Drosophila melanogaster: one gene and its partners. The protein of the gene in region 1 purifies or fractionates together with the protein of each later gene. This does not show direct contact. Each region holds a gene or a part of one and is shown on either strand. Other genes may lie near its edges. The genes, in order: SuUR, His1:CG33825 and Rif1.

Evidence for each region.
Region 2: the proteins of SuUR (region 1) and His1:CG33825 purify together in Drosophila melanogaster (affinity purification with western blotting, with the first as the bait; one study listed by BioGRID). This does not show direct contact.
Region 3: the proteins of SuUR (region 1) and Rif1 purify together in Drosophila melanogaster (affinity purification with western blotting; one study listed by BioGRID). This does not show direct contact.

The regions. Positions count from the first base shown.
Region 1 is NT_037436.4:11,062,719-11,069,525, forward strand, and holds SuUR (suppressor of Under-Replication), read left to right. Parts: upstream 1-2,272; 5' UTR 2,273-2,449; coding exon of another isoform or gene 2,450-2,656; 5' UTR 2,657-2,676; coding exon 2,677-3,004; intron 3,005-3,111; coding exon 3,112-3,311; intron 3,312-3,377; coding exon 3,378-3,556; intron 3,557-3,642; coding exon 3,643-5,824; 3' UTR 5,825-6,307; downstream 6,308-6,807. Other genes in the region: CG32075 (uncharacterized protein), read right to left, coding at 56-105, 185-405, 469-683, 744-1,743, 1,803-1,942; CG45101 (uncharacterized protein), read left to right, coding at 2,450-2,656; CG6310 (uncharacterized protein), read right to left, coding at 6,413-6,588, 6,650-6,807.
Region 2 is NT_033779.5:21,465,799-21,475,058, forward strand, and holds His1:CG33825 (histone H1), read left to right. Parts: upstream 1-5,460; 5' UTR 5,461-5,619; coding exon 5,620-6,390; 3' UTR 6,391-6,483; downstream 6,484-9,260. Other genes in the region: His1:CG33822 (histone H1), read left to right, coding at 577-1,347; His2B:CG33896 (histone H2B), read right to left, coding at 1,754-2,125; His2A:CG33823 (histone H2A), read left to right, coding at 2,352-2,726; His4:CG33895 (histone H4), read right to left, coding at 3,203-3,514; His3:CG33824 (histone H3), read left to right, coding at 3,809-4,219; His2B:CG33894 (histone H2B), read right to left, coding at 6,797-7,168; His2A:CG33826 (histone H2A), read left to right, coding at 7,395-7,769; His4:CG33893 (histone H4), read right to left, coding at 8,246-8,557; His3:CG33827 (histone H3), read left to right, coding at 8,852-9,260. UniProt on the Drosophila melanogaster protein: Histones H1 are necessary for the condensation of nucleosome chains into higher-order structures.
Region 3 is NT_033778.4:15,861,302-15,874,533, reverse strand, and holds Rif1 (Rap1 interacting factor 1), read left to right. Parts: upstream 1-5,386; 5' UTR 5,387-5,527; coding exon 5,528-5,629; intron 5,630-5,714; coding exon 5,715-8,196; intron 8,197-8,257; coding exon 8,258-8,544; intron 8,545-8,632; coding exon 8,633-10,012; 3' UTR 10,013-10,225; downstream 10,226-13,232. Other genes in the region: sli (slit), read left to right, coding at 1-22, 85-244, 857-999, 1,069-1,155. UniProt on the Drosophila melanogaster protein: Regulates the timing of initiation of DNA replication. Functions in copy number control by promoting the underreplication of DNA, which is found in many late replicating euchromatic regions of salivary gland polytene chromosomes.

The DNA of each region.
Region 1 (6,807 bases):
TCTGGATCTAGTACTAGTTTTTATTAATTACTTTATTTAATATTAATCTGCGTATTTATTGAGCCCAAGGGAGCACACCCAATGCACATTTGGGCCAATCGGTATCTGGAAATAGCATTTACAGTAAGAGCGATAATTGATTAATTTTCAAATCACATAAATGCAAAGCCAAATCAAAACTTACGCTTGTCTAATTTCCAAACTCCCCAGTCTGATGTATGCTCTTTGCTTTGAGCTGCTTGTTCCAAAAATCGTTCCAAACGGTCTAGATTGTTGCTCTCCTCTGAAGAGCTATCTTCTTCCATAGCTTCCTCTTCATAAAATTCTTCAAGCTGTGCATCGCAGAGTTTAGTTAAATCCTCAATTTGCGTCTTGGTGTATGGAGGATCTGCGAGCGGTAATAATCTAAGAAAATGTCAATCTTATTAATCCAAAAGCAAGTAAACCCAAAAAAAAATGTATACCTACCCTTTTAGAATGGGCGCTGAGTAATTGCTAAATGCATCAACACGCTGCATAATAAAATCACGATCAAAAATCAAAGACCTGGACTTTTTGGGATTGTCGCCAAAAATAAGGGTAACCGAGAGATCGGCATTTGAGTGTACTAACAGACTGCGCATTGTCTTAGAAATTTTATCCGTGTTTAGGGTGGCAAAGTCCGCTGGTTTTAGTTTATCGTTCTGGAAAATAAAGAATATTTTAGTGTTTTCATCGTTAACACACTCCGTATTTATACTAACCAAATCCAGTTCGGCTTTGTACATGCGCTTCATACGGAACAGCATCCCAAATGTTTCCAACATTTTCTTTGCCCAGTAGCTGGCTCCCAGACGCCTTTGCTCCGACTCGTTTTGGTTTTCACTCAGTTGAACTAGGGCCAAAAAAACCTTCTCGATATATCCCTGCACGGCCAATAGACGGAAGAGTCCCTGTGTGGCTGCAATGATGACATCCTCGTTGTCGTCGATTTCCAAGCCAACGCCAAGGAAGTATTTCATTTTAAGCAGGCATTTTGTATATATGTCCAGCAGATCCTTCATCGATGATGACTCCTTTTTGACCAACGCACTTAGATCACCTAACACAGCACTCAGAATTTCTTTCGATGTCTTCGCCTTCTTGCTGGAGGAGTAGACTCGTATCTTATTGAATTCACCACTGGATTTTAGCTTGCTAATGGCCTTTAGTTTCTCAGCCCCCTTGATATGGCACTCCAGGGTTAGATCGTAGATCTCCAGAAGATCTGTCACAGCCTTTTCAAACTTAAGCTTGTCCTTGCGATGCAGTTTGCCAGCATCCAAATTGGACATGGTTTCCATGTGTGGCAACCAGTAGTAGGTGCGCAGCCACTCCAGACAATGATTCGAGGTGTTTCTCAGCACCTCCACAGGCGGCAGCTCCTGTCCATGGGCGCACAAGTGGCGCAGATCAACGATGAACGACTGGAGGCCCAGTTCCTTGGCCGTTTCATACATGCTGGACATGTTGTGTCCCTGGATAATGGAGGACATAAAGTTGTAGAATCGTGTAAAGGCACTGGCATAGGTGTCCTGTATTTTGGCGCTGCCCTCCTGGTCCTCCAAGTGCGCCTGAACAAGCACCGATGTGGCCAAAACCGCTGCCGGGCAGAGACTTCCTCTTCGCAGACACCAAATGCGGATTTTACTGAGCGCTTGACGCCATGTGGCTGGTGTGTTGGACTTGCCAAACAACCATTTGTACGTTGTATTAAATTCCAGCCTGAAAATGTAATGTTTTTATCAACGGATTGGATTTGTTTCCACTTTTTGTCTACGCACGTGTCTCGCCAAGGAGTGACCACAGTTCGTTGTTTTACATTTGGTGGCGGTGTGACAGGAACAACTTTGGCTTTCTGCTGTTTTCCCTTTTCAGGGCTTTTCTTTTTTGCCTCAAATTTTTCCTTCTTTGCAACAGCCATGGCAATTTGGTCTGAATAAATTTAAACAAATTCCATGCGAAACAAACCGCAAACGAAATCACAACAGTTGCAACAGTGATGAGCTAAATGCAGCTATAAAAATGAATTCCTTACACAAGTTTTGAGTTGGCAGAATAAATAATTTAATTTAAAAACATTTTACTCGCCAAAGGTTTCCAACCTAATGTATTTTACTAATCCTTGTCGGTTCAGTAAGTTTTTTTTAATATTTTGCTATTAATCAAGAGCAGTATCTCTTTTGGCTATTTCTAGACATTGCTTCGTTTGCCAACACTACCAACGTCCAACAGCTGATCGCGCCAACAAGACGCAGCCGGTTCTGTGTGAATGGTGAAATAGAATTGGAGCCAAAAATAATATTTTCTTCTTGTTCGATTGTTAAGCCTTTTCCCGCGCCCCCGCCATGACTAACAGCGCTTAACCCAATTTCCCAAAAGGGACGAAAATTGTCCTCCGAAAAAATTGAAGCTTAACTAGTTTCAACACATGTACGAGATCCAACATCCTGTTATCATCAACAACAACTACAACGTGGTGGACATACTGCATCCGGAGAATATCGAATTCGATGGGCCGTCTGCGGCGCGAAAGATGATAATTGGTTCATTTTCGATGTTCGTGATCTTCTCGTACCTGCAACTATTCTACATCCTGGTTGCCATCTATCTGGCCCTGCATCACGCACACCATTGATTCGAATTCTCTGAAGGATCATGTATCACTTTGTATCCGAGCAAACGCCGGAGGTGCGGCTCACAGATGAGGCACTGGTCACGAGCCACGTGACGCAGTACCTCAAGAGCTTTCAACTGGATGCCGTCCGCTTCGTCTACGATCGTTTGGCTAAGCGGGAATTCTGCATCCTGAATGATGAGAGTGGCCTTGGAAAGGTCGCTACGGTGGCGGCACTTCTAAGTGCCCTACCACCCGCCAAAAAAACACTTGTGGTGCTCCAGAACGATGAGCAACTGCTCACCGGTTGGCGATTCCATTTGGACACTCTCACTGACCTCCAGGTGTACATCATTCAGGGGGTGCAAGGTAATGCCTAATATTTAAATGGATTTGTTGATAAGAATGTTATCGTAATTTCACATTATTGCCATTTAAAAATTAAACTTCAACACCTTCACTTTCTGCCTTTACAGATACCACCGACTCCCCGCACAGCGTTTACCTGGCGAAATGGAGCCAACTACGGAGCATTGGAGATCTCAGTCGCCTCAAGTTCGACTACATTATGGTGGATAATCGGGGGCATTCGCTGAACAACAGCTTTTGCACTTCCATGCTGCTGAAGCAATTCGAGGGACGGGTAAACGTTCTTATCTCCAGTGTTGACGTTACGGTGAGGCAATGCATTCATAATATGGTTTATATCATTTTAGCTTATGTGGTTTCTCTCTCTCTGCAGTCCGACGTTAGGTTGCTCTACAATGTTCTACGGTTGGGCGGCCGACTGGAGCATCAGTACAAAAGCTTTGCGAGCTTCGATCGAAAATTCCATCTGCCAGATCCGAAGGAGGTATTCAGTAAGCGCATAGATCTCGAGGAATACTACAAGCAGCGGGGATTCCTCAGCGAGTACATCAAGTAGGTGAACCAGCAACGATCAGTTTCACTGTTGCATAAGACCGGAATAGTCAGTTGCATATGAAAATAACTTATATAATTTGTAGGGACTTTCGTCTGCGTCGTTTTCGTCATCAATTCGACAAGTCACTGCCACTTGTCGCACCGGAGCAATACAAACACAATCTGAATCTCTGGTTGGCCTCAAAGAACAGCCAGAGCACAATAAGCGGCTCAGATGTGTGCTCTACAATCGCTTCCATAGACAACAATCCGGCTCAGCAAAATAAAACTGGGCTCTTTGAAGAAACGGATAGGTTATCCGAGCACAGCGTGGATGATGTGGCAATGTCACCGCTGATATTCGAGTATTCCGAGTCTGACGATGAACCCCTAACAGTAGAACCTGATGCAGATCAAAACCCGGTATTAGTTGTATCCAGCGATGATTGTGAGATTGTAACACCTCCAAGTACTCCGCAAAATCGAACGCCCTCATTAAATGAATCACCAAGGACGAAATCAAAGAAAAAATTTAGCAAAAAAACGTCACCGCGCAAAAAAGCTGATCTCACCGATTCCGAAGAGGATGATGAAGCGACCGATAATATGCCGCCAAGGAAGAGAACTCGTGCAGCCACCGTTCATCTGACACCTAAGACAAGGAGACTCAATGTTCGAATTTTAAGGGTTTCCCTCGATACTCTGAGCACACCACCACCGTCCAGAACCACTACTGCGATCGTAACGCCCAAAACGGAGCCCACAGCTAGAAGAAAAAATCTGAAAAAGCGCACGGTGAGCCCAGTGGATGTGGGTCGTCCAGCCACAAGGGGAATGCAGCGCCTAACACGATCCGCTGAAACAAAAATAAACAGTAAGTACTTGAAACATCGCTCATTGGATGATGTCAAGCGTAGCTTTCCAAGGAGAGTCAAGTTGGAGGGTAACCAAACGCCCAGAAGTAGCAAACAAATAGTGAAGCAGGAGCCTAAGTCTAAAGTCGGGCAGGAAAAGAAACAGAAGACGGTGGATGTACCTGCTCAAGGAACTGCGAAACGAAAGCCTGGACGTCCGAGAAAATGCCAAACCAAGACTGAAGATTTGGGGAAGACAAAGACTAAGCCGAATTCAAAGCACTTGCCACCTACTCCTCAAGTTCTCAGTGGTAGCTCGTTGTCCTCGGAGTACATGCAATGTGCTCAGCGAATACCAGACAATTTGGATGCCATTGAGTCGCCCGCTTTTCGTGTGCCCTTTACACCTCAACAAACTCCAATGCTTCTAACCTTGCCGTCTACACACAATTTGCTCAACGATTCTGAGGTGGTGTCTATTCCGCTTTACAAAGATCCAGTTGAGACAGTGGTGATCAATAGCTCGCACGATGAGTGTTCTCCGCAGGATCCATCGCAGAGTCGTCGCACCAAGGCTTTGAAAAGAAAACGCAAACCCGTGACGTCCGTCAATTCAAGTTTCGGCGGCGGATTGGGTCTACCACCGGCCAAGAGGAGTGCCAACAAATCTCCAGATCTATTTAGCATATCCTCGGAACACTCGCAGATTCCGCTGGCGCAACCAAGACCCTCATCGCCCTTCGAAGGCTTTAAGATCTTTGGCTCTGAGGTGAAGCAGTTTCAGCAGCAGCTAGCGAAAGTAAATATATCGGTGCCAAAAAAGAAGCGAGATCGCTCGTGTTTGGATATCCTGGAGCAAATGTTCGAGCCACGACAACAGCAGTCGGCTAAAACTAGTCCCAAAGTCTTGCCAACCTTGCCACTGACCCAGAAGGATGATGCAGAGTCTACCATTACGCAGAGAAGAAGAACCCTGCTGGAAGATGACTTCTTTGAGATAACGAACAATGGCCAATTTGGCAGTCGCATGCGATTGAACTCCTCTGGCGAAGTATCGCCCGTGCAACCGGATCAACAGTCCGTCAGGCCGTCGCAGGCCAATAAAATCACCAATTATTTGATAGGTTCTGGAATTACGCAGGAGCGAACGCAACCTTCGAATGGTAATCGCAATTCCATTCTTGCATCGCTGCGCAAGTCACCCAAATCTCCCAAACAGGGTGCTAAATCCACTCAGGCCACGAAACTAACACGCTGGTTTGGCTCCGTCTTCGGCGGTGGAGCCTCACAGACCAGCTCCGTGGAATCGGTTAGTGCACCAAGTACGCCGGTGAATTCATCCACAAGTGCAGCAGCTTGTCAAACGCGATCGGCGAGAAGTGGTGGAGCATCAGGACCGACCAAAAGAAAGCGATTGGAACTGTTCAAGTGATGAACAGCAATCAATGAAAATGACAAAAACCAAATCAAATCAAATCCAATTATTGAATATATAATGAATGAAGGAATATATAACATATAGTACGAAATCAAAAGTTAACAGCATCCAAATATGAGGTTGTAAAATCAAATTGCACAGGACCGTCTAGCTAATTTAGTTAAAATTATACTTTGTGTGCGCATTTTGAAGAGTAAGGTTACCATAAAATTGAAAAGACACTGCATAATATTGTATGCGTATCTTGTAAGTAGATATAATTGGTAAATTATTAGTTCACAAGTTTATCTAGTTTCTCAATTCATTTTCCAAAATGTGCCACCTGATTTAGACGTGTTTTTTTTTTTTTAAATTATTTCAATACGCATTCAAAGTGTATTCAACAATTTTAAAGTAACGAAAGATATCGTTTTTAGAAGCAAGTACCGTGTAATTTTGTATCATCGTTAAATAAACACAGGGTTTACATTTAAAAACAAAGTATTGTGTGTGTTTTTTTTTTATTAGGAATTAAGATTATTGGTAGGTAAGTCAATTAGTTGTTTGCACATATGATTTAAATTTGAACTAGATCCTGGTATGCTATCCTCTCTGTTTTCCGAATATTATCGTTAAGTTGTGCATCACCGCCTGGCGCTGGAACTCCAGTTCCCGCCTACACATGCCGCCCAAGAGTGGTGGACACTGATACTGGATGTTCTCCTGGGCAAAGGTATCACCATTGGAGTTTCTGAACGTGAATTCACTCAGTGATTGTACTGCAATAGAGATTCATTTACGATTAGCGAGGGCATTCATATCACTTCCGTCTTATCTTACGGCAATAGAATCCGGCAAAGAAGCAAGTCTGATGCGTGGACTTAATGGCATAGGCCACGGGCGATACTCCGGGTAATGACTTGGTGACCACGTACTTGGCCGTAGCCGTATTCAGCCAGTATGGCCAATGGGATAGTCGCTCTGTGTACTGCACCGTG
Region 2 (9,260 bases), on another chromosome or scaffold:
TATATTAATATTATGTTATTTAAGAAAGTATCTGTATTTTTAACGATCGAAAATTATTTCTGAATGCTGCTTTAAAGCAAATTTTTCTGTAGTTCAATGTGAACTTAAATCAAGTGATAAAGTATCTTAATTAATAATAGACGCTTCTTTCAGAAGCCCTTTCTAGGGGATGAACGTTTCAATTTTAATAAACATTACGAATTAGTGAAATATTTGCGATGATTCTTATTTTATTAGATGTTTTTTTATAAATTGGTCCAGTTAAAAATTCGAATATAAAAATTCAATCAACATTTGAAAGTCTCAAAACCCATATTACATCCTTTTAAAAATGGAAAGTGACGAAAAAATTATTTAAAATTGTAAAACTATTAAAACCTTATTTTTATTAATGATTTAAAATACTAAAAAATTAAAAAGAGTTTACACTTCAAGCAAACTTCGACATAGTAAATGACTGATGTCAGTAGCATTGTTAAAGTGCTCTCCTCCTCGATTCTCATCAGAGCAAAGGAGGTTGGTAGGCCGAGCGCGAGCCATTTTTAACAGAAAAAAAGTGTTCTCAGTGAAAAAAAGATGTCTGATTCTGCAGTTGCAACGTCCGCTTCCCCAGTGGCTGCCCCACCAGCGACAGTTGAGAAGAAAGTGGTCCAAAAAAAGGCATCTGGATCTGCTGGCACAAAGGCAAAGAAAGCCTCTGCGACGCCGTCACATCCGCCAACTCAGCAAATGGTGGACGCTTCCATTAAAAATTTAAAGGAACGTGGCGGTTCATCACTTCTGGCAATCAAAAAATATATCACTGCCACTTATAAATGCGACGCCCAAAAGTTAGCGCCATTCATCAAGAAGTACTTAAAATCGGCCGTGGTCAATGGAAAGCTTATCCAAACTAAGGGAAAGGGTGCATCTGGATCTTTCAAACTGTCGGCCTCTGCCAAGAAGGAAAAGGATCCGAAGGCAAAGTCGAAGGTTTTGTCTGCTGAGAAAAAAGTTCAAAGCAAGAAGGTAGCCTCTAAGAAGATTGGTGTCTCCTCCAAAAAAACTGCCGTTGGGGCTGCTGACAAAAAGCCCAAAGCTAAGAAGGCTGTGGCTACCAAAAAGACTGCCGAAAATAAGAAAACTGAGAAGGCAAAAGCCAAGGATGCCAAGAAAACTGGAATCATAAAGTCGAAGCCCGCCGCAACAAAGGCGAAAGTGACTGCAGCGAAGCCAAAGGCTGTAGTAGCGAAAGCGTCAAAGGCAAAGCCAGCGGTGTCTGCAAAACCCAAAAAGACGGTGAAGAAAGCATCGGTTTCTGCTACCGCCAAGAAGCCGAAAGCGAAGACTACGGCTGCCAAAAAGTAAATTGTGAAAAAGTGCAGTATTTGGTACATGTTCGCAATTAAAATTTTAGATTTATGTTTTATAGATCTGAAATTTGTTTAAACAAGTCCTTTTCAGGGCTACAACGTTCCGTTGCAAGAGAAAAAAACTTTTATTTTCTTCCACTTATTTATTAGCTGACGTTCGCAGCAACAATAAAACGTTTCATGTCATGAATTACATTGCATGTTGGTCGCATTCAGTTTTCGTTCCCGATTTTTTTGTATTTATTTGAACATTACCCAATTACCCATATTGCGGGTAAATAAGTTTTATTTGTAAATTCATATTCAATGATTGGTGGTTGAAAAATGCATTTCTTTGGTATAACACATTGTGGCCCTGAAAAGGGCCGTTTTGGATTATTGTCCGCATTCGCAGGAGAAAATTATTTAGAGCTGGTGTACTTGGTGACAGCCTTGGTTCCCTCACTGACAGCATGCTTGGCCAACTCTCCAGGCAAAAGCAGGCGAACAGCCGTTTGGATCTCCCGACTGGTGATGGTCGAGCGCTTGTTGTAGTGAGCTAGACGAGACGCTTCGGCAGCAATTCGCTCGAAAATATCATTTACAAAGCTGTTCATTATGCTCATCGCCTTCGACGAAATTCCGGTGTCAGGATGGACCTGCTTGAGAACCTTGTAAATGTAGATGGCATAGCTCTCCTTCCTTTTGCGCTTCTTTTTCTTGTCGGTCTTGGTGATGTTCTTCTGAGCCTTGCCAGCCTTCTTGGCTGCCTTTCCACTAGTTTTCGGAGGCATTGTTCACGTTACTTATATTTTCACAAACACAATTCACTTATCGTAATGTGGGCCCGAACGCGTTCACGTTTATACTTTTTTTCGAGCAGTCAATTCAGGTCTAAGTCACCCACCCCTAACTGAATGCGCAGGCAAACGGAAAAGTATAAATATTTCGCTGTCTGGGTTAGGCGAGCATTCGTGTTCCGTGCGTAAAGTGAACTAAGTGAAATAAACGCAAAGCAAAATGTCTGGACGTGGAAAAGGTGGCAAAGTGAAGGGAAAGGCAAAGTCCCGCTCAAACCGTGCCGGTCTTCAATTCCCTGTGGGCCGTATTCACCGTTTGCTCCGGAAGGGAAACTACGCAGAGCGTGTTGGTGCAGGCGCTCCAGTTTACCTAGCTGCCGTAATGGAATATCTGGCCGCTGAGGTTCTCGAGTTGGCTGGCAATGCTGCTCGTGACAACAAGAAGACTAGAATTATTCCGCGTCATCTGCAACTGGCCATCCGCAACGACGAGGAGTTAAACAAGCTGCTCTCCGGCGTCACAATTGCACAAGGTGGCGTGTTGCCTAATATACAGGCTGTTCTGTTGCCCAAGAAGACCGAGAAGAAGGCCTAAACGTTTCAAAGGCTAAGCTAAAAACCTACATGTACATAAAATCGTCAATCAAACCGTCCTTTTCAGGACGACCAAATTATTACCAAAGAATTGAAAAATTTTTTAGCTTGGCAATTTGTTGTAATTAGTAAATCATAAAGAATTATTAACGTAAAGATGGTAATGTAGTAAGGGTTTTCTACTATATGCGGTATAAACTATAATTTGCTTCTTTAAACAATCGCACACCACGATGTGATGCTGTACATGCGGTGTCTGAAACCATTTGTACAGTCTGTACAAATCCATGTTAGAAATATACACATTCTATTTGAAAGAGTACGAACGACAGACATTTATTTTTAGTTTAACATATTTTTTGGGAGTCCCGACCAATAAAATTAAATACTTTTTGAAAATCTTCCTCCTTTTAAAAACTGAATGGTGGTCCTGAAAAGGACCGATTGCTTAATAGGGGTACACAGGATGTACACTTTTTAACCGCCAAATCCGTAGAGGGTGCGGCCTTGCCTCTTCAGAGCGTACACAACATCCATGGCTGTAACTGTCTTCCTCTTGGCGTGTTCCGTGTAGGTCACGGCATCACGAATTACGTTCTCCAAGAAAACCTTCAGAACGCCACGCGTTTCCTCGTATATGAGTCCAGATATGCGCTTCACACCGCCTCGACGGGCCAAACGGCGGATAGCAGGCTTCGTGATACCTTGGATGTTATCACGCAGTACTTTGCGATGACGCTTGGCGCCACCCTTTCCCAAGCCTTTGCCTCCTTTACCACGACCAGTCATTTTTCACTGTTCTATACTATTATACACGCACAGCACGAAAGTCACTAAAGAACTAATTTCAACGTTTCTGTGTGCCCCTATTTATAGGTAAAACGACAAAAACCCGAGAGAGTACGAACGATATGTTCGTTCGCTTTTCGCTCGTCAAATGAAATGGCCTCTGTTTTTCTCTCTCTCTCTCTCTCTTTCACCGTCCAGGATTGCTATATAAGTAGGTAGCAAATGCTCTGATCGTTTATTGTGTTTTCAAACGTGAAGTAGTGAACGTGAACTTTAGTGAAACCCAAATCGGAGATGGCTCGTACCAAGCAAACTGCTCGCAAATCGACTGGTGGAAAGGCGCCACGCAAACAACTGGCTACTAAGGCCGCTCGCAAGAGTGCTCCAGCCACCGGAGGTGTGAAGAAGCCCCACCGCTATCGCCCTGGAACCGTGGCCTTGCGTGAAATTCGTCGCTACCAAAAGAGCACCGAGCTTCTAATCCGCAAGCTGCCTTTCCAGCGTCTGGTGCGTGAAATCGCTCAAGACTTTAAGACGGACTTGCGATTCCAGAGCTCGGCGGTTATGGCTCTGCAGGAAGCTAGCGAAGCCTACCTGGTTGGTCTCTTCGAAGATACCAACTTGTGTGCCATTCATGCCAAGCGTGTCACCATAATGCCCAAAGACATCCAGTTAGCGCGACGCATTCGCGGCGAGCGTGCTTAAGCTGACACGGCATTAACTTGCAGATAAAGCGCTAGCGTACTCTATAATCGGTCCTTTTCAGGACCACAAACCAGATTCAATGAGATAAAATTTTCTGTGGCCGACTATTTATAACTTAAAAAAATAAGAACAAAATTCATATTCTATTATTTATGGCGCAAACGGTACTGGGTCTTAAATCATATGTAAAAATACTAATTCTGCCAGAGAAGGAATAAAAATAATCTTATTTTAATTGTCAGCTCAACATTTATTAAATTAAAGAAGAGGTTAATACAAAAATATATATTTTTATTTGTTCTTTGTGCGAACATCCTTTAAAGCAGTGAAAGTGTCGTGCGGGGCAAGGGACTCTGAACCTTAAACATCTAAAAAAAAAATCTGAATTCTGTGTAAGACAGTTTGAAATTAATGAAATTACATTGATGACGGCAATATTTATAAAATAACAGAAAATAATAAAATAAAACTAGCTATTTTATATTTTTTCCATGTGTTAACTGAAGAATGTGTTATTATTGAAGAGGTCGTACGGGACAATTGACACTGTCCCTTCAAACGTCTGTAAAAAATAAAACCTATGTAAAATTCAGCACGGAAATTGGTTAATTTTGTTGCGGAATGTAATATATATTACATAATAAAGGATAATACAAAAATTGTTTCTTTTTATTTTTTATTTGATTTATTTATTTGACTACATAGACGGTAATGCATATGTGGCGAGGAAATCGATTGATTTCAGAACAAATTATTTTAAAATATGCATGAAAACACATTAATAACAAGCAAACACATTAATAATTTAAGAAAATATTATTTATTATATTAATATTATGTTATTTAAGAAAGTATCTGTATTTTTAACGATCGAAAATTATTTCTGAATGCTGCTTTAAAGCAAATTTTTCTGTAGTTCAATGTGAACTTAAATCAAGTGATAAAGTATCTTAATTAATAATAGACGCTTCTTTCAGAAGCCCTTTCTAGGGGATGAACGTTTCAATTTTAATAAACATTACGAATTAGTGAAATATTTGCGATGATTCTTATTTTATTAGATGTTTTTTTATAAATTGGTCCAGTTAAAAATTCGAATATAAAAATTCAATCAACATTTGAAAGTCTCAAAACCCATATTACATCCTTTTAAAAATGGAAAGTGACGAAAAAATTATTTAAAATTGTAAAACTATTAAAACCTTATTTTTATTAATGATTTAAAATACTAAAAAATTAAAAAGAGTTTACACTTCAAGCAAACTTCGACATAGTAAATGACTGATGTCAGTAGCATTGTTAAAGTGCTCTCCTCCTCGATTCTCATCAGAGCAAAGGAGGTTGGTAGGCCGAGCGCGAGCCATTTTTAACAGAAAAAAAGTGTTCTCAGTGAAAAAAAGATGTCTGATTCTGCAGTTGCAACGTCCGCTTCCCCAGTGGCTGCCCCACCAGCGACAGTTGAGAAGAAAGTGGTCCAAAAAAAGGCATCTGGATCTGCTGGCACAAAGGCAAAGAAAGCCTCTGCGACGCCGTCACATCCGCCAACTCAGCAAATGGTGGACGCTTCCATTAAAAATTTAAAGGAACGTGGCGGTTCATCACTTCTGGCAATCAAAAAATATATCACTGCCACTTATAAATGCGACGCCCAAAAGTTAGCGCCATTCATCAAGAAGTACTTAAAATCGGCCGTGGTCAATGGAAAGCTTATCCAAACTAAGGGAAAGGGTGCATCTGGATCTTTCAAACTGTCGGCCTCTGCCAAGAAGGAAAAGGATCCGAAGGCAAAGTCGAAGGTTTTGTCTGCTGAGAAAAAAGTTCAAAGCAAGAAGGTAGCCTCTAAGAAGATTGGTGTCTCCTCCAAAAAAACTGCCGTTGGGGCTGCTGACAAAAAGCCCAAAGCTAAGAAGGCTGTGGCTACCAAAAAGACTGCCGAAAATAAGAAAACTGAGAAGGCAAAAGCCAAGGATGCCAAGAAAACTGGAATCATAAAGTCGAAGCCCGCCGCAACAAAGGCGAAAGTGACTGCAGCGAAGCCAAAGGCTGTAGTAGCGAAAGCGTCAAAGGCAAAGCCAGCGGTGTCTGCAAAACCCAAAAAGACGGTGAAGAAAGCATCGGTTTCTGCTACCGCCAAGAAGCCGAAAGCGAAGACTACGGCTGCCAAAAAGTAAATTGTGAAAAAGTGCAGTATTTGGTACATGTTCGCAATTAAAATTTTAGATTTATGTTTTATAGATCTGAAATTTGTTTAAACAAGTCCTTTTCAGGGCTACAACGTTCCGTTGCAAGAGAAAAAAACTTTTATTTTCTTCCACTTATTTATTAGCTGACGTTCGCAGCAACAATAAAACGTTTCATGTCATGAATTACATTGCATGTTGGTCGCATTCAGTTTTCGTTCCCGATTTTTTTGTATTTATTTGAACATTACCCAATTACCCATATTGCGGGTAAATAAGTTTTATTTGTAAATTCATATTCAATGATTGGTGGTTGAAAAATGCATTTCTTTGGTATAACACATTGTGGCCCTGAAAAGGGCCGTTTTGGATTATTGTCCGCATTCGCAGGAGAAAATTATTTAGAGCTGGTGTACTTGGTGACAGCCTTGGTTCCCTCACTGACAGCATGCTTGGCCAACTCTCCAGGCAAAAGCAGGCGAACAGCCGTTTGGATCTCCCGACTGGTGATGGTCGAGCGCTTGTTGTAGTGAGCTAGACGAGACGCTTCGGCAGCAATTCGCTCGAAAATATCATTTACAAAGCTGTTCATTATGCTCATCGCCTTCGACGAAATTCCGGTGTCAGGATGGACCTGCTTGAGAACCTTGTAAATGTAGATGGCATAGCTCTCCTTCCTTTTGCGCTTCTTTTTCTTGTCGGTCTTGGTGATGTTCTTCTGAGCCTTGCCAGCCTTCTTGGCTGCCTTTCCACTAGTTTTCGGAGGCATTGTTCACGTTACTTATATTTTCACAAACACAATTCACTTATCGTAATGTGGGCCCGAACGCGTTCACGTTTATACTTTTTTTCGAGCAGTCAATTCAGGTCTAAGTCACCCACCCCTAACTGAATGCGCAGGCAAACGGAAAAGTATAAATATTTCGCTGTCTGGGTTAGGCGAGCATTCGTGTTCCGTGCGTAAAGTGAACTAAGTGAAATAAACGCAAAGCAAAATGTCTGGACGTGGAAAAGGTGGCAAAGTGAAGGGAAAGGCAAAGTCCCGCTCAAACCGTGCCGGTCTTCAATTCCCTGTGGGCCGTATTCACCGTTTGCTCCGGAAGGGAAACTACGCAGAGCGTGTTGGTGCAGGCGCTCCAGTTTACCTAGCTGCCGTAATGGAATATCTGGCCGCTGAGGTTCTCGAGTTGGCTGGCAATGCTGCTCGTGACAACAAGAAGACTAGAATTATTCCGCGTCATCTGCAACTGGCCATCCGCAACGACGAGGAGTTAAACAAGCTGCTCTCCGGCGTCACAATTGCACAAGGTGGCGTGTTGCCTAATATACAGGCTGTTCTGTTGCCCAAGAAGACCGAGAAGAAGGCCTAAACGTTTCAAAGGCTAAGCTAAAAACCTACATGTACATAAAATCGTCAATCAAACCGTCCTTTTCAGGACGACCAAATTATTACCAAAGAATTGAAAAATTTTTTAGCTTGGCAATTTGTTGTAATTAGTAAATCATAAAGAATTATTAACGTAAAGATGGTAATGTAGTAAGGGTTTTCTACTATATGCGGTATAAACTATAATTTGCTTCTTTAAACAATCGCACACCACGATGTGATGCTGTACATGCGGTGTCTGAAACCATTTGTACAGTCTGTACAAATCCATGTTAGAAATATACACATTCTATTTGAAAGAGTACGAACGACAGACATTTATTTTTAGTTTAACATATTTTTTGGGAGTCCCGACCAATAAAATTAAATACTTTTTGAAAATCTTCCTCCTTTTAAAAACTGAATGGTGGTCCTGAAAAGGACCGATTGCTTAATAGGGGTACACAGGATGTACACTTTTTAACCGCCAAATCCGTAGAGGGTGCGGCCTTGCCTCTTCAGAGCGTACACAACATCCATGGCTGTAACTGTCTTCCTCTTGGCGTGTTCCGTGTAGGTCACGGCATCACGAATTACGTTCTCCAAGAAAACCTTCAGAACGCCACGCGTTTCCTCGTATATGAGTCCAGATATGCGCTTCACACCGCCTCGACGGGCCAAACGGCGGATAGCAGGCTTCGTGATACCTTGGATGTTATCACGCAGTACTTTGCGATGACGCTTGGCGCCACCCTTTCCCAAGCCTTTGCCTCCTTTACCACGACCAGTCATTTTTCACTGTTCTATACTATTATACACGCACAGCACGAAAGTCACTAAAGAACTAATTTCAACGTTTCTGTGTGCCCCTATTTATAGGTAAAACGACAAAAACCCGAGAGAGTACGAACGATATGTTCGTTCGCTTTTCGCTCGTCAAATGAAATGGCCTCTGTTTTTCTCTCTCTCTCTCTCTCTTTCACCGTCCAGGATTGCTATATAAGTAGGTAGCAAATGCTCTGATCGTTTATTGTGTTTTCAAACGTGAAGTAGTGAACGTGAACTTTAGTGAAACCCAAATCGGAGATGGCTCGTACCAAGCAAACTGCTCGCAAATCGACTGGTGGAAAGGCGCCACGCAAACAACTGGCTACTAAGGCCGCTCGCAAGAGTGCTCCAGCCACCGGAGGTGTGAAGAAGCCCCACCGCTATCGCCCTGGAACCGTGGCCTTGCGTGAAATTCGTCGCTACCAAAAGAGCACCGAGCTTCTAATCCGCAAGCTGCCTTTCCAGCGTCTGGTGCGTGAAATCGCTCAAGACTTTAAGACGGACTTGCGATTCCAGAGCTCGGCGGTTATGGCTCTGCAGGAAGCTAGCGAAGCCTACCTGGTTGGTCTCTTCGAAGATACCAACTTGTGTGCCATTCATGCCAAGCGTGTCACCATAATGCCCAAAGACATCCAGTTAGCGCGACGCATTCGCGGCGAGCGTGCTT
Region 3 (13,232 bases), on another chromosome or scaffold:
CGAGACACCGCACATCAAAGAGGTGGGTTGTCCTGTAATCACCACTAGAGAAGGCTTTAGCTAAACAATTTTGTCCATTTTCAGGAGCCGGTGGATCCTTGCCTGGAGAACAAATGCCGTCGGGGCAGTCGCTGTGTGCCGAATTCCAATGCCAGGGACGGCTACCAGTGCAAGTGCAAGCACGGCCAGCGCGGCCGCTACTGCGATCAAGGTGAGGGCAGCACTGAGCCCCCAACAGTCACCGGTACATACATCTATCATGCTTTTGCTACTCACAACTCACACCCGGGTGTACACCATTCACTACTAACCAAAAAATATGACATAACTGAGTAGGGCATTTAAGATCTATATAGTTTTGTTTTGACTGTGAATATGTGGTAAAAGTAGATGGGTACTCAGCTTAATTTTTCAAAAAGAATTGTAGGCTTAAAATTCTCAAGAAAACAAAACCAAACAACCTCATTGAAAAATTTAGAATTACGGTACTAACGTGATTTTATTTAAAAAAAAAGGTACTTATATCAGAATCGCAATTTCATAAATAGCCAAGAAACACGGCAGAGGTGTTCACCTCACTCTTAAGCGTTAATCATATGGTGGCACATGCTAAATATTAATACTACACCAGCAAGCTTTAATTATTGACACATATACGCACACGCATATTCATGACATTCGCTTTTCACGCTACTCATCCATCAAAGGGAAATATCGTGGGGTTTTTGATGGGGGGGGGCGGAGACGACACTGTGCACTTTGTTAGTTCTAATTATCCGACCGCAACTCACGTTGCAGCCACTGCCTTAGCTCGCCGACTAATTGCGTTCTGTTGACTCTTTCCTTCCACCCACAGCGGCGTCCACCTGTCGCAAGGAGCAGGTGCGCGAGTACTACACGGAGAACGACTGTCGCTCGAGGCAGCCGTTGAAGTACGCCAAGTGCGTGGGCGGCTGCGGCAACCAGTGCTGCGCGGCCAAAATTGTGAGACGGCGCAAGGTGAGTGAATCTGAATATACAATATGTCCTGGTGTTTAAAACTAATCAATCTGCCCGTTTTGCCTACAGGTGCGCATGGTGTGCAGCAACAACCGCAAGTACATCAAGAACTTGGACATCGTGCGCAAGTGCGGATGCACCAAGAAATGCTACTGACTGAAAGATGCGACTACCCAATTGCTCGAACGGAGCAATAGCAGCTTAGATGTTAGTTTAGGAACAGGTTTAAATCTAACTTATAGTAGTAGTTATAGTAACGATAGTCTTAGCCATAGCACTAGGGATAGCACGGATGTTAGGGGGACGAAGGATGAAGCGGAGGAGAGTGCTGACGCGGGGGAGACAACGGAGGAGGTGAGGGACGAGAGTGATGATTACCCCACGGACGGCATGCAGTCCGATCTCTACGACGACACCATCGATGACGACGATGACGATGGTCTCGATGATGATTATGCAGACGAGGAGGATGGGGAGGAGGATCCAGAGCAGCTTCCCGATCCCAAAGGTCTGGTAAGTGTGCCAGATGAAGAGGAAGACATGGGTTACGACGAGGATGACGAACGTATCGCCATGGAGCGGCCAAGAACGGTTAGACCCAGGCCCGACGAGGAGCATTTCCTTAACGAAGAGGGCAGTGGTTTCGGCGGCTTTCGATCGCGATTCCGGCCGAGCAATAGCTTCCGCGAGACTCAGCTGGAGAATATCCGCAAGAAGCTGCTCACAGAAGCACAGGCGGCTCCGGAAACGGCTGTTGCGGTGGCCGTGCCGAGCACTGCGATAGATCTGCGCGAGAGCAGCGGCCACTTTGCCAACGATGACGAGGATGGCGAGGACGGCGATGACGGCGTCGATGACGAGTTCGCCGACACGGGGGAGAACCAGGGGCGCGGCTTCTTTGGCTCCCAGCAGCAACAGCGCAAGAACGGTCCGTATCACCGCAAGAACGGCAACGATGCCATCAAAATCATCTCCACGCCGCTGGGCAAGGTGAGCATTGTGTACCAGCAGACGGACAAGGATCAAAGTCCGGACAAGGATGCGCAACAGCAGCAGCAAAAGAAGCCGGCGCTCACCGACTTCGACGCCCTGTCACCGGACCCCGAGAGCAGTCATCGCTTTCCGTCGCCCCACCCCAAGATTACACCTGTTCTGACGCCCGATGGCAAGGTGGCGCTGCTCTATCGCGGAGACTCGGAGAGCTCCAAGTACGAGCCCATACGCAACCTGACGCACAAGTTTTCGGGACAGCCGGCCAAGGAGTCAAAGCCTAAAACCGAAGATTCCTCCTCGGCGGAGGACTCTGTCTACACGGACAGCGAGGATACCGAGGACAGTAAAGGTGAAACTAGTGCTGGAAAGTCCTCACCAGTGGCCTCCACGCCCAAGCCACTGCAGCCAGAGATTTTGGAGCCTCCAGATAACGTCCAGCCAGGAGGGTCATTTATAATTCGGCCCACCTCCGACTCGCTTCTGCCGATGATCAACAGGCCACTGTCCGAGGTTCTGGGCATCAAGAAGAACCAGTTCCAGGAGACCCGGGTGCGTGACCAATTGCCCACGCAACAGCCTCCGCCTCCACTGCCGGAGGCCACGTCCCGTAGTCCCGCTTCCGGACATCAGTTCCTAGCCAAGGTGAACCTGGCTGAGTTCCCGACATCCGGAAGGACGCTCCAGACGCCGCTGATCCCCAGCACCCACGACTTTGACTTCAGCCGTGACAACACGATGCTGGACGAGCGGTCGCGGGTGCGTGAGTTGGAAAAGCAGCGGGAGCGGGACAAGGAGCACAACGAGGCCACCAGCAAGGGAGCCACCGAGGCACACACCATAGCCAACGAGCAGCTGCTCTCCAAGACGGAAGTCATCAATCTGGCCATTGTGCCACAGTTTGACGAGGACTTGGAGCGTCTACAGCGGCTGCAGGAGAATGGTGGTCGGCGCCACCATAGGGCGCGACATCGTCATCGGCAACAGTCGGAGGAGGAACTGTCTGGCATCCATTGCATCATGCAGGTCATGATGGGCGTGGCCGCCGTGTCGACGGTCTTCGGCATGCTGGGCACCTTCTTCAAGCAACGCATCCTCGATCAGCTGCGCATGATGCACTGGTAGTACAACAAGGGGGATTCGATTTTCGGTGTCGAATGCCCCACATCCCCCCACCCAATCCCCGTTTCCTGCATCGTCATGATCATCATGCAGTCTATGGAGGCTGGCTAGCTGCCTTCGGGATGCAAGGTCCTTCTTCTACTACTAGCACTCATATACTCGAATATATACTCGTACTCGTACCATATGCCATATGCCATATATTAATCGCATAATCTATGTAACACAGCGGCATCGATTTGCTTTCGTCCCCTTCCGCTTCCTTATATATATTTATATATACATTTATATATCTATCTTATCCTTCGACATTGTGCTCGCAAATGCGGACACTTCCTTGCTACACATGTATTCTATATATTCGCATATATCAATTTACTAGTGCAAGCTACCCAGGCGATGTACATAATAACAGAACCATAATACGGCGATCGATCGATCCGGATATCTATGTATTTATGTGAGACGCAACTGTAGCCCCTGCCACACTCCGCCGGAAATTAGCTGACCCACGTCACTTCTTCCCCGTTCCTTCTTTCGCACGTTGTGTGCCCTATTTTCCCCTCCCATGTAGGACATTCTCAATCACATCAGCGTATACAAGCTTTAAGCAAGTCATTGCATGTGCCACGCCCCCTCGAACTGAACTGAACTCAACGCCCAACCCGCCCAGCATGAGTCCCGCAGCAAATACATTCCCTCCATCCCCCCACCATCCGTCATCCGCCAGAGGAACCAGTCGAGGAGCTCGGAAATTGAACGTAGAACAGATTCCTTTTGTAGATAGAAAACGAAACAGTTGTTGGGAGATGGTAACCAGACGAATGTCGAATGACAAACGATAAATAATGATAAACTAAACTAAAGTTCTAAACAAAACAAAACACAGTAAAATCGCACAGAAGCGCACGCATTACAAAATACAAAAACCTGCAACGGTCGTTTTAAACGCTCCGTTCAGTTGTCTCAAAGAAACGAGTAAACGATAATAAGTGCATAACGAAAACCTTCTTTAGTCTAAGTTGCTCAAAGGATAAAGTATTTTGATAGAACCGGAAAGGATCGAGAAACAAACCAATAAACCACAAAGAATCGAATTGAATCGTAACGAAACAAAGGCCCCAAACGTGTAACGAATTTCCAACAAATTGTTGCAAGTGTTTTCCTAGAATTAGTCCTAATTAAACTAAATGTGTGCAAATCGAAGCGTAACTAATATTACAATTAATCTAAACTAATTGAGGAAACATAAACCTAAACATAAATCGGATAACAACATCTAAGCTGGGTAGTCGCATGTAAATCTCTAACAATTAACAATTACCGACCTAAGTTAGACCTAAAAATCGAAACAAAATCGAATCGCATTTAAAGAAATCTACATAATAATAATAATTTATACTAATCTATATATACTTATATGTATGCTGTATGTATGTATGACCCTATATGTATATGTAAAATGTTTTTGACTATTTTTCACTATTTATATTCATATATATTATATATGCATATACGATACATGTGTAATAGCCCCTTTTGGTCATTTTAGTTGTCTTTTATATATATTTAATACGTGTATTATTTTTATTAATTATTCAAGTATAACTATGCGCACCAATTAAACGCATACCTTATGTATAACCTATTGACAAATATATATATATATATTATGTGTAATAGCTGTTGCTAAACCAAGTTTAATTATCAGTTTTTTATTTAACCTTTTTCCGGCGAAGCTTTCGACGGTTCACAGCCGCAAAATTGTGTTCAGCTAATTAATTAGGAAGAGAACGTGTCCCGAGCAATAATGGGGGAAATGACAATTATAATATTCATTTCTGTGTGTAACAATTATTTCCTAATAAAATTGACAAAGAAAAATGTTTAAAATTAAACGAGTTTGTGTTTTGCAACTATGTCGATCCATAAAAGGTGCAGATTCTGTATGATTTGCAATTCCACGTTTTAAATACTTTTTAGCTTGTAATTGGGGAGTTTAAAATGTTTAAAAATCCAATTGAGTCCCGCCAGTTACAAAGTTATTTTACGGAAATCAGTTGAGGACGGCGGTTCTTGAGCTCTACAATATCGAGTAAAAAGCAATAAACGAGTAAAAGCTAAAATAATAATAACGGTAGTCCTTTGTGATGTTGCTAGGATTTTAAATTTAAATTATTTTTAACTTCCGGCGTTGCACAAGTCTGGCAACTCTGAGTTTCACAATTTTGGTATTTTCATACTGTCGGCGATAACTTGTCGATGACATATCGACCTGCTTTTGCCACCTCTAGCCATAGCAATTCGCGCGCTTTTTTCTTCGACAGTCTTTAAAACTGCGGGAAAATAACTTGTGGCGTTCGCAGGCGGAAGAAAATAATATAATTAAATAAGCGTATCATCCAGCGTACGAGCCATGGATGTAGACTTCGGCGCGCAGGCGGGGCAGTCCTACCGCACGGTGCAGCTTTCCGCGAAAGAAGTGCTCGCTGCTGGCCGCCGTCAGCATTATTGCAACGTAAGTAGGGCACCCAATTGCAGCGCCAAGTATGTATCTCACTATAGCTCCGGCCCCCCACCTATATTTCCATGTGCACCACCAGATGATCGACTTGTTGGCCAGCAGCTGCAAAAGCTCCGGTTTGATAGCCACTTCCTTTACGGATGACGAACTGGTGGAGTTCTGGCTGGGAGATATCCTGCCGCTTATGTTCGATGCGGACCGAAAGATCCAGGACTGTGCCGTGGCAGCTCTTGCGGAGGCACTGGTGGCTCTTGACGTGTCCGTTATCCACTCGGCCAAGTGCTGGCCTCAGATCCGCAGTGAATTTGTCGACAAATACACCATCATCATCGGGGAGATGCGCGATGCTAAGAACTCCAACTGGCACAAAATATGGACGCTGCTGGTACAAATCATGGACGAGGATTTGCTCAGGGGCTGTGTATATATCAACAAATTCTTGGCTCTGGTTGAATTGGGCTTCCGCAACCCGGATAATGGTGTGCGGTCGGAGGCATTTCTTTGCTGGCGCGTGCTCATCAAGATCTTTGCCGCCTACGACGAACTGACATCCGCGAAGAGGCTTCGTTTGCTGCTGATCCCCCTGCGCACTTCACAATCGCGATCCTCGCACGTGAGTGGCATCAAGTTGCGAGTGTGGTGGTATCTGCTCAGCTGCCTGGACCACGAGTTACCCAAGTCTTTTGACAGCGCCGTGGAGCACTTTTTGGCTTTTATGCTAGGCGGAGGTCCACGAAATCTGGCTACGGGTCTGGCGCACAACTACCAGACGGCTCGGGAGTTGGCCCTGCCCTGCCTTGTGGCCCTTTGGGGCGTGGAGTCCAGTGAACCGTTGCAGCGTCTAATGAGAGAGCTACGCTTGGAGACCTTGGTCCAGCCCTCGCCTCTGATGAGCGTAGAGGTATTCCAACAGCATTGGAAACCTCTTTTGGCCGCTGCCGTTTCCGGTTTAAAGTTGCTTACCGAGAACGATGCCACAGAAGCGGAACAACTCCTGCTGCAGTTGCTCGTGCGGAATCTGTGCCTTGCCATGTTTCGGTTGGCAGTTGCTCCCTTCAATGTGGCGTGCTGCAGTGAAATCGAGAAAATCCTGCAGGCTGAAGATAACTCCGGTGGCCGAGTTGTACGCGCTCTTTTCAATACCATAGCCGCAGATAACTTGGTAATGGAGCGTGTGTCTGGAAGCGACCATCTTGATGTTCTGGAGGCCTACTTGAAACTTGTACTGAAATCCAAGACAGAAGTTCCGGCAGCAATTCTGCAGCGAAGTATCGCATGCATTTTCGCAGTCGATCGTATCGAGGCGAACAATCAGAACGAGTTCCGGATGCTGGGCTCCTTCGCTGAGCTTCTGATGCAGGCCAACGACGAAGAGGACTTTGAGGGATTCGCATTCAAGCTGCAGGTGTGGCGACAGGTGTCGCAGGCGTTGTCCAACTATCTGCGAAACAATGCGCTTGAATACCGTGTGGCACACAACGCTTCCCTTTTGGACACTTGGCTTTTATGGCCACTTCAGACACTGGCTGCCTTTGCGGGACGGCGTGCTAGCAACTCCTTCGATGCCTCTTTTTGCGATCAATGGCGCCAACTGGTAAACGCAGGCCAAAACGCGCCGGGGAGGAAGAAGTTCTTGACGGACCTGAAAGCCACACTTACAGACCTCCTAAAGAGCAAGGATGAACCGCTCTTTGCAGAGCTCTTCGATGCTTATGTGACCTCCTTAATCAAGTTTGGACTCTGTAAGGAGGCACCTTTGTATAAGGACGTTTTTGGGCTACTTCAAACCATTTTCGAGCAGCCCTCCTCCCAGAAAACGCTCGAAGCCTGTTTAAACACCCTCCGCAACCTGGTGGTGGAGTTGCGGCAAAACGAACTAATGGTAGTGTTCGATTCATTGAAACCAACATTGTCTTCTGGCATCCAGTGCTGGAATAAGATGAAGTGCGAAGGCGGATTCTTGGAGGAGTGGAAGCGGGGAATTCAAGAAAAGTTTCGCAAGCTACCCATGAAGACGATGGCCAATCAGCTCAAAGAACTCTTTAAGGCAGATGATCTCTTCGTGATCATCCCATCAGTGTGGAGTCTGAATCCAGAGAAGCTGACGGATCGTCAAAAGGAGCGCTTCGCTGAAAAGTCGGACATTCCAGCTCTGTACAATGATATGTCGCAGTCTCAGGACTCGGCTTCCATTAAGCCCTGGACCCCTAAGAAGGTGGTTATTGCAAAGAGCAAACAGGGTGAGCTGGCCTTAACCGGCAAGGATGACAACGGCGAGGTGATCGATATAACGGCCAGCGAGGAGTCTGAGAAGGAACCAGTGAGAGTTGACGTAGTTACACCCATCCGAAAGAAACCGGGGCGTAAGTCCCAAGCTCAAAAAGAACTCGAGGCCGCTGCCAGGGCTGCTTCTCTTGCCGAGGAGCCGCCAAAGCGTCAGACGCGAACACGGGCGGCTCAAAAAGAAACGGAACAGGTGGCTCAGCCACAGCCAGCGTTTGAACCACAGCTCAGATCGCCAAAGAAATTGCCACCGTCCCCGGTCGTTCAATCTACAGCAGGTACGTGAAACAAGTAACAGGTGAGCTAAGGATGTTAATCCCAACACTTGAATTTTTGCAGCTGCCGTTAAGCAGGCAAAGGTTGCAAAACCCACCCCCGTTGTGGTAATCGCGCAGAGCGAGGATCTTTTCCCGGAAGTCGCAGCTGAGCCAGAGCCTCAGCCAGAACCGGTTAAGAAACCCGACCCTGTTCCAGAAACAACACAACTGACCCCGCCTGATGTACCCTTGGAAGCTGTACCCTCTACCCAACTGCCTGGAAGCAGCGGAGATCCTGCCGCTTCTGCGGGGGCTGTGGCTGCCGGTGAGATGTCTCCAAAGAAATCAGGCACGCGAATATACAATTTGGTAAGTAAATCGCATTAGACTTGGTTAAAACGGTTACTTTATTACAATGTTTTTATGAACTTTTTTAATTTCCGCCTTCTTTTCGCAGAGCTCTCCACCTGATCGCAAGCAGACAAACAACTCCTCGAGTCCAACATTGCGGCCCAAGCCCACGGGACATCTGACTGGACGCGGTGCTCAGTTGATCAATATGATTCGCAACAAGAAGCTGGACGCTGCTTCCGGCTCGCCGTATGCGTGCATGTCTACTTCGCGCCTGGTTCACCAAGTGACGCCGGCCCGTGCCCAGGATCGCGCCGAGCAGGTGTCCACTCCCACCAGCGAGCTAAACGAGCTGACGGGCACGGATCACACTTCCACACCGATTCAGGCACCTCCCTCGAAGGATCTATTGGTGTTTTCCAAACGACTGCCATCCCCATCGGCCAGTCCCTCCGTAAGCATCTTGAAGCGCAAGCTACGATGCGAAAGTCTCGATGATGTTACTCTGGACTCGCCGGCTCTAAAGCGTAAGCGAGTTAGTTTCCACGACCCACCGGTGTCCGTCACCAAGGAGTATCTACGCGATGCTGAGGAGACGCGCAGCAGTTTGAAGCCCAAACGCTGTCTGCTTATGGACAAGGTGGCCCAGACCACCGAGATGCGCCAGGCGTTGAGGAGACGTGGTCGGTTAGACAGCATAATCGAAATAGAGCGTTTCGCTAGCGAACAGACGGCCAGAACAGCGACGACGGACAAGAGCCTGGACAAATCCACTGGCGAAGCACCCGAGGAGGATGCTTTCACCAGCTTAAAGTGGAACGACACAGGCAACGCGCACAACATTAGCATATCCGAAGAACCCGTCAAGGCGATGGAAGTGGAGTCTGAACTCGAGACAGCCGGCCAGGATCTAGCCATCATGGATCCAGAAGCCGCTCTTGATCTGGCGGTGGCGCAATTACCGCTGGAGTCGGTTTTGCAGCGCTACTTTGACAAGAGTCCGCTGAAGAGCGCCGGCATGTTGGCTAAGTTTCTGTCCGCCCAAATGACGGCAAACGAAAAACTTAAGACCAACGTGCTAGAGACTCTGTCGGAGAACCACTCCAAGGATTTCCTGGACCACGCTGTGCGCGAGAATCTGTCGTCGGTGGTGTGCGACCGCCTGAACCCGACCTCTGTGCTGGAGTACGTATGCGCCAAGTCCAAGATCAGCGCAAGTTGCCGCAACGGGCTGCTGGCCCAGGTACCCGAAATTCTGAAAAGCGGCCCACGTTCCGATTCTGAGCGCCTGGCCTTCGTACAACAACTGATGGTGCAGTGCAGCCCCGGTGACGACCTGCTCCTCGATCTCATTGACCTTCTGATGCGTACGCGTCGGGAGCGGAACAACAGCACCTCCACTCACATCTCCAAGGGCGTCGTATCCGCCGTTGGAAGCCCTGACAACGTGGCCGAGACCGCGGCCGACTCCTCATCAAACTTATAGATTGGACCTGACTTGAAATTACGAATGAAATATTAAGCACTTGGCCATTGAACTCGATTAAGTATGGGAAGTTCGATTGTAACTAGTTGGTTCTAGATAGTTAAGTTTAAATTGCATTATGTTTAAGATTTATATTATGCCCGTTGGTGTATTATGTTTTGCTGCAAAAACTTGCTTCATATTCTTACAATAAATTTAATATTTTATTATTATAAAAAGTAGAAAGTCATCAATATATTAGATAATATATATATATTGGTGGGAGAACTTATTTATTTTTAAGTACATCGATCATAATTCCTATAGATAAAGGAAAACAGCAAAAGGAACGAATTTGATAAGAAAACCCAGACAATTATTTTAACTTGTTTTCGAATTAAAATTAGTGTATTTAACTCTGGGAGTTCATATACTCAAAAGTCCACACTGCAGACAATGTTACCTAAAATCGTAATCGATTGCCATATAATCTAGGGAAATCTTATCAGTACGTCAAAAGTGACGTGACAGATACGTTTCCCATCAGGCAGATAAATAATTAGTATGATTTGTGTTAACTTCGTGTTAGCTATTCAGCGAGTTCAATGGTACATTGATCAAATATTGTCAGGTAATCATGATGGAATTGAAACGACTATTCTGAGTGATAAAGTGGTGCTGAATAGGTGTAGGGCATTCCAAAGTCTTAGAGTTGCGCTTTTTAGGTGCTTGTGATTATGCTGGATACTTTTGGGGGTCAGGTAGTGGCACCTTCAGTGGAGGGCAAGCTCCACGTAGAAACCTCCACTGGTGCCGGCCCAACCCTATCTGGTTGATTTGTTGTTCTGGTCGCGGCAAAGTCAAATTACCCCGCCATGTCCGCCGCATCCATTGATAATGTTCACGTGCTAGCAAACAACGCGTCGTCGCCGACATCGGCAGATAGAGATACGTCGACTGGCGACGCCGACGATCTTTAAAATATATACACTACACTATATGGCATACATGTGTGTAGGAATACGTCTACGGCGACGTCTTTCGCTGGCATTTGTGCAAATACTACAATATAATATTATGTTCCAACGTGGGCGGAGCGCTCTACACGCCACGGATGCGTGTTAGGTGCTCCGTCGGTGCTCCAACAAAGACGTTGGATACTTTGTATCAGTTACAGGCGGCGTGATAAGTGCGCTTTCGGCACAATTAGCCAGACGTTTTAATTTGGGAATGCCAAGGTCGTTTGTAGGTCTGTACTTAGCACTGCTGTTCGTAGGATCCCGATCGCCAAATCGGCGGATCTGGCCGCCCATATATATAAATAGCGATGGAAAGTTCTTGCCCAATTGCGCAAGTGAAACTGACCTACCTAACCCAGGCCATCTCGTGTACGATGACGCAGTCCGTCCGTACTTAAGTCTTCTGCTCCGTCTGCTCTCTGTCTGCGGAATCGGCCAGCCAGTCAGCCGATCGAGAGCACAGTCAAATGTGTCTAACCCTCCCCTCGCAACAAAGATACTACATATTCATACGCCCCATGGACCGGTCGTATCCATATGTGATTCATTCATAAGCCGGGTGCCCTCGAAACGCGTGAGGCACTTGTGAAATGGCCTCTCTTATCAGGCGGTTAGTTCCCGAATCGATTTCGATGGCGAGCCGTGGAAATTCACGGAAGAGCAGCCTTGCTGGCCCGCGTTCCTATCAGCAGCACTCGCCGCATAATTGAATAATCTGAATCTGCCGAGCGAAGAGCGCGAAACAATAAAAATATCAGATACGCTGCCCGACCGCCGCCAGTTACAGAACAAATTCGCTGCGAACACAACGTGGGCGCATCTCGCAGGTGCCAAAAACGAGGTAGAAAGACAAAGACAAGCAAATGTGCGGGGGGTTTTTGAAAGCCACCTATATAGAGATCGGTTTATAGCCACATAAATATGTACATATATCCGTCGGGTATTTTGCTTAATTTTCGATGAAACAATTTGTGACACAGAATAAACTTGTATAAAAAAAACTAATGCTTATCGCATTCTTGGATAACACTTTTCAAAATAAAATACGGCATGTGTAAATAGTGTTGAAATGAGAAAATTGTTGGCTGTACTGACATAATTGCCTACATTTAACTATATTTATTTATGGTGAAGTGATTAAGGATGCTTGTGAAAATTGAATTAATTCTGGTTAAGTGTCAAAAACTACTGTTTGCACAAAAAATAAGAATGCTCGATATTCCAAACCACTTGGTACTCAAATCAAAACTAATTTATCCCATATGCATTAGGAAACGACAAAACTAAGGATATTACCGTGATATTGCAAAAAAGGAAAATCGAGAACAAGTAGCTGCTGCGCAGCACGAGAGTCTATCTAGCATCTTGAGATCTGCCAATTCGCTAATTAGCCGGGCCAAAACGGGGCGGATGGGTGGGAGGGCGTGGCACAACAGCTGATGGCGCCGAGCACGAGCCACAACGAAGTGCAGCAAAAGTTTTCTCGAGCGGAAAAAAAGCTGCATGCAGTGCAGTTTTCGCAGAGCAACAGCAACTGGCAAACCAAACGGACGAGACTCGCTACCAGTTCTCAGGTCATCAGTTCCAGGCCCGGAATCGAATTCGGATTCGGAATCGGATCAGATAGCATCCAGAGCACTAGGTGAGCTCAATAACCGATTTGCCTTGGCCGAGTGCGGATGCGGGTAGCGGCAAAACGACGGCGAGTGTCGCGGAAAAGTGACTCAAACTCTGATGTAATCATTTTCACATGCCATTACGGCCGCCGCTAAAATCGTTCCGTTCGCATTGCCATTGGCATACTCATTCCAATTCTCGCTGGTCGGAAATCGGGCGACTTCGGCTTTTCTGTGTTTCGCATTCAGTCTGTTGCTGAGGCGCAAAGGTAAACATGGTCACGATTCTACTCGAATCGGGTTGGATTGGATTGGATCGAATCAAAACGAAAAACGAATCGGTTTTGAGTCACTCAAATAGTGCGTCCAGCACGCAGCTGTGCGGATTACGTTCTGTTTTGTGTCCAGTATTCCGGATCCCAAGTTTCATATCTGTATCATTATCTGGCCGCCGCAGTATTGATTTAACACACATTCGGATTCCGATTGAACGATAGTTGGCCAAAAGCTTTACGCAAAAGCTCGCATCAGCTGTAAAAAAGCGCGGCAGAGAGCCATTGGATATATAAGCGAGAGAGAGCAAATGAGAGAGAGTGCAAAATAATT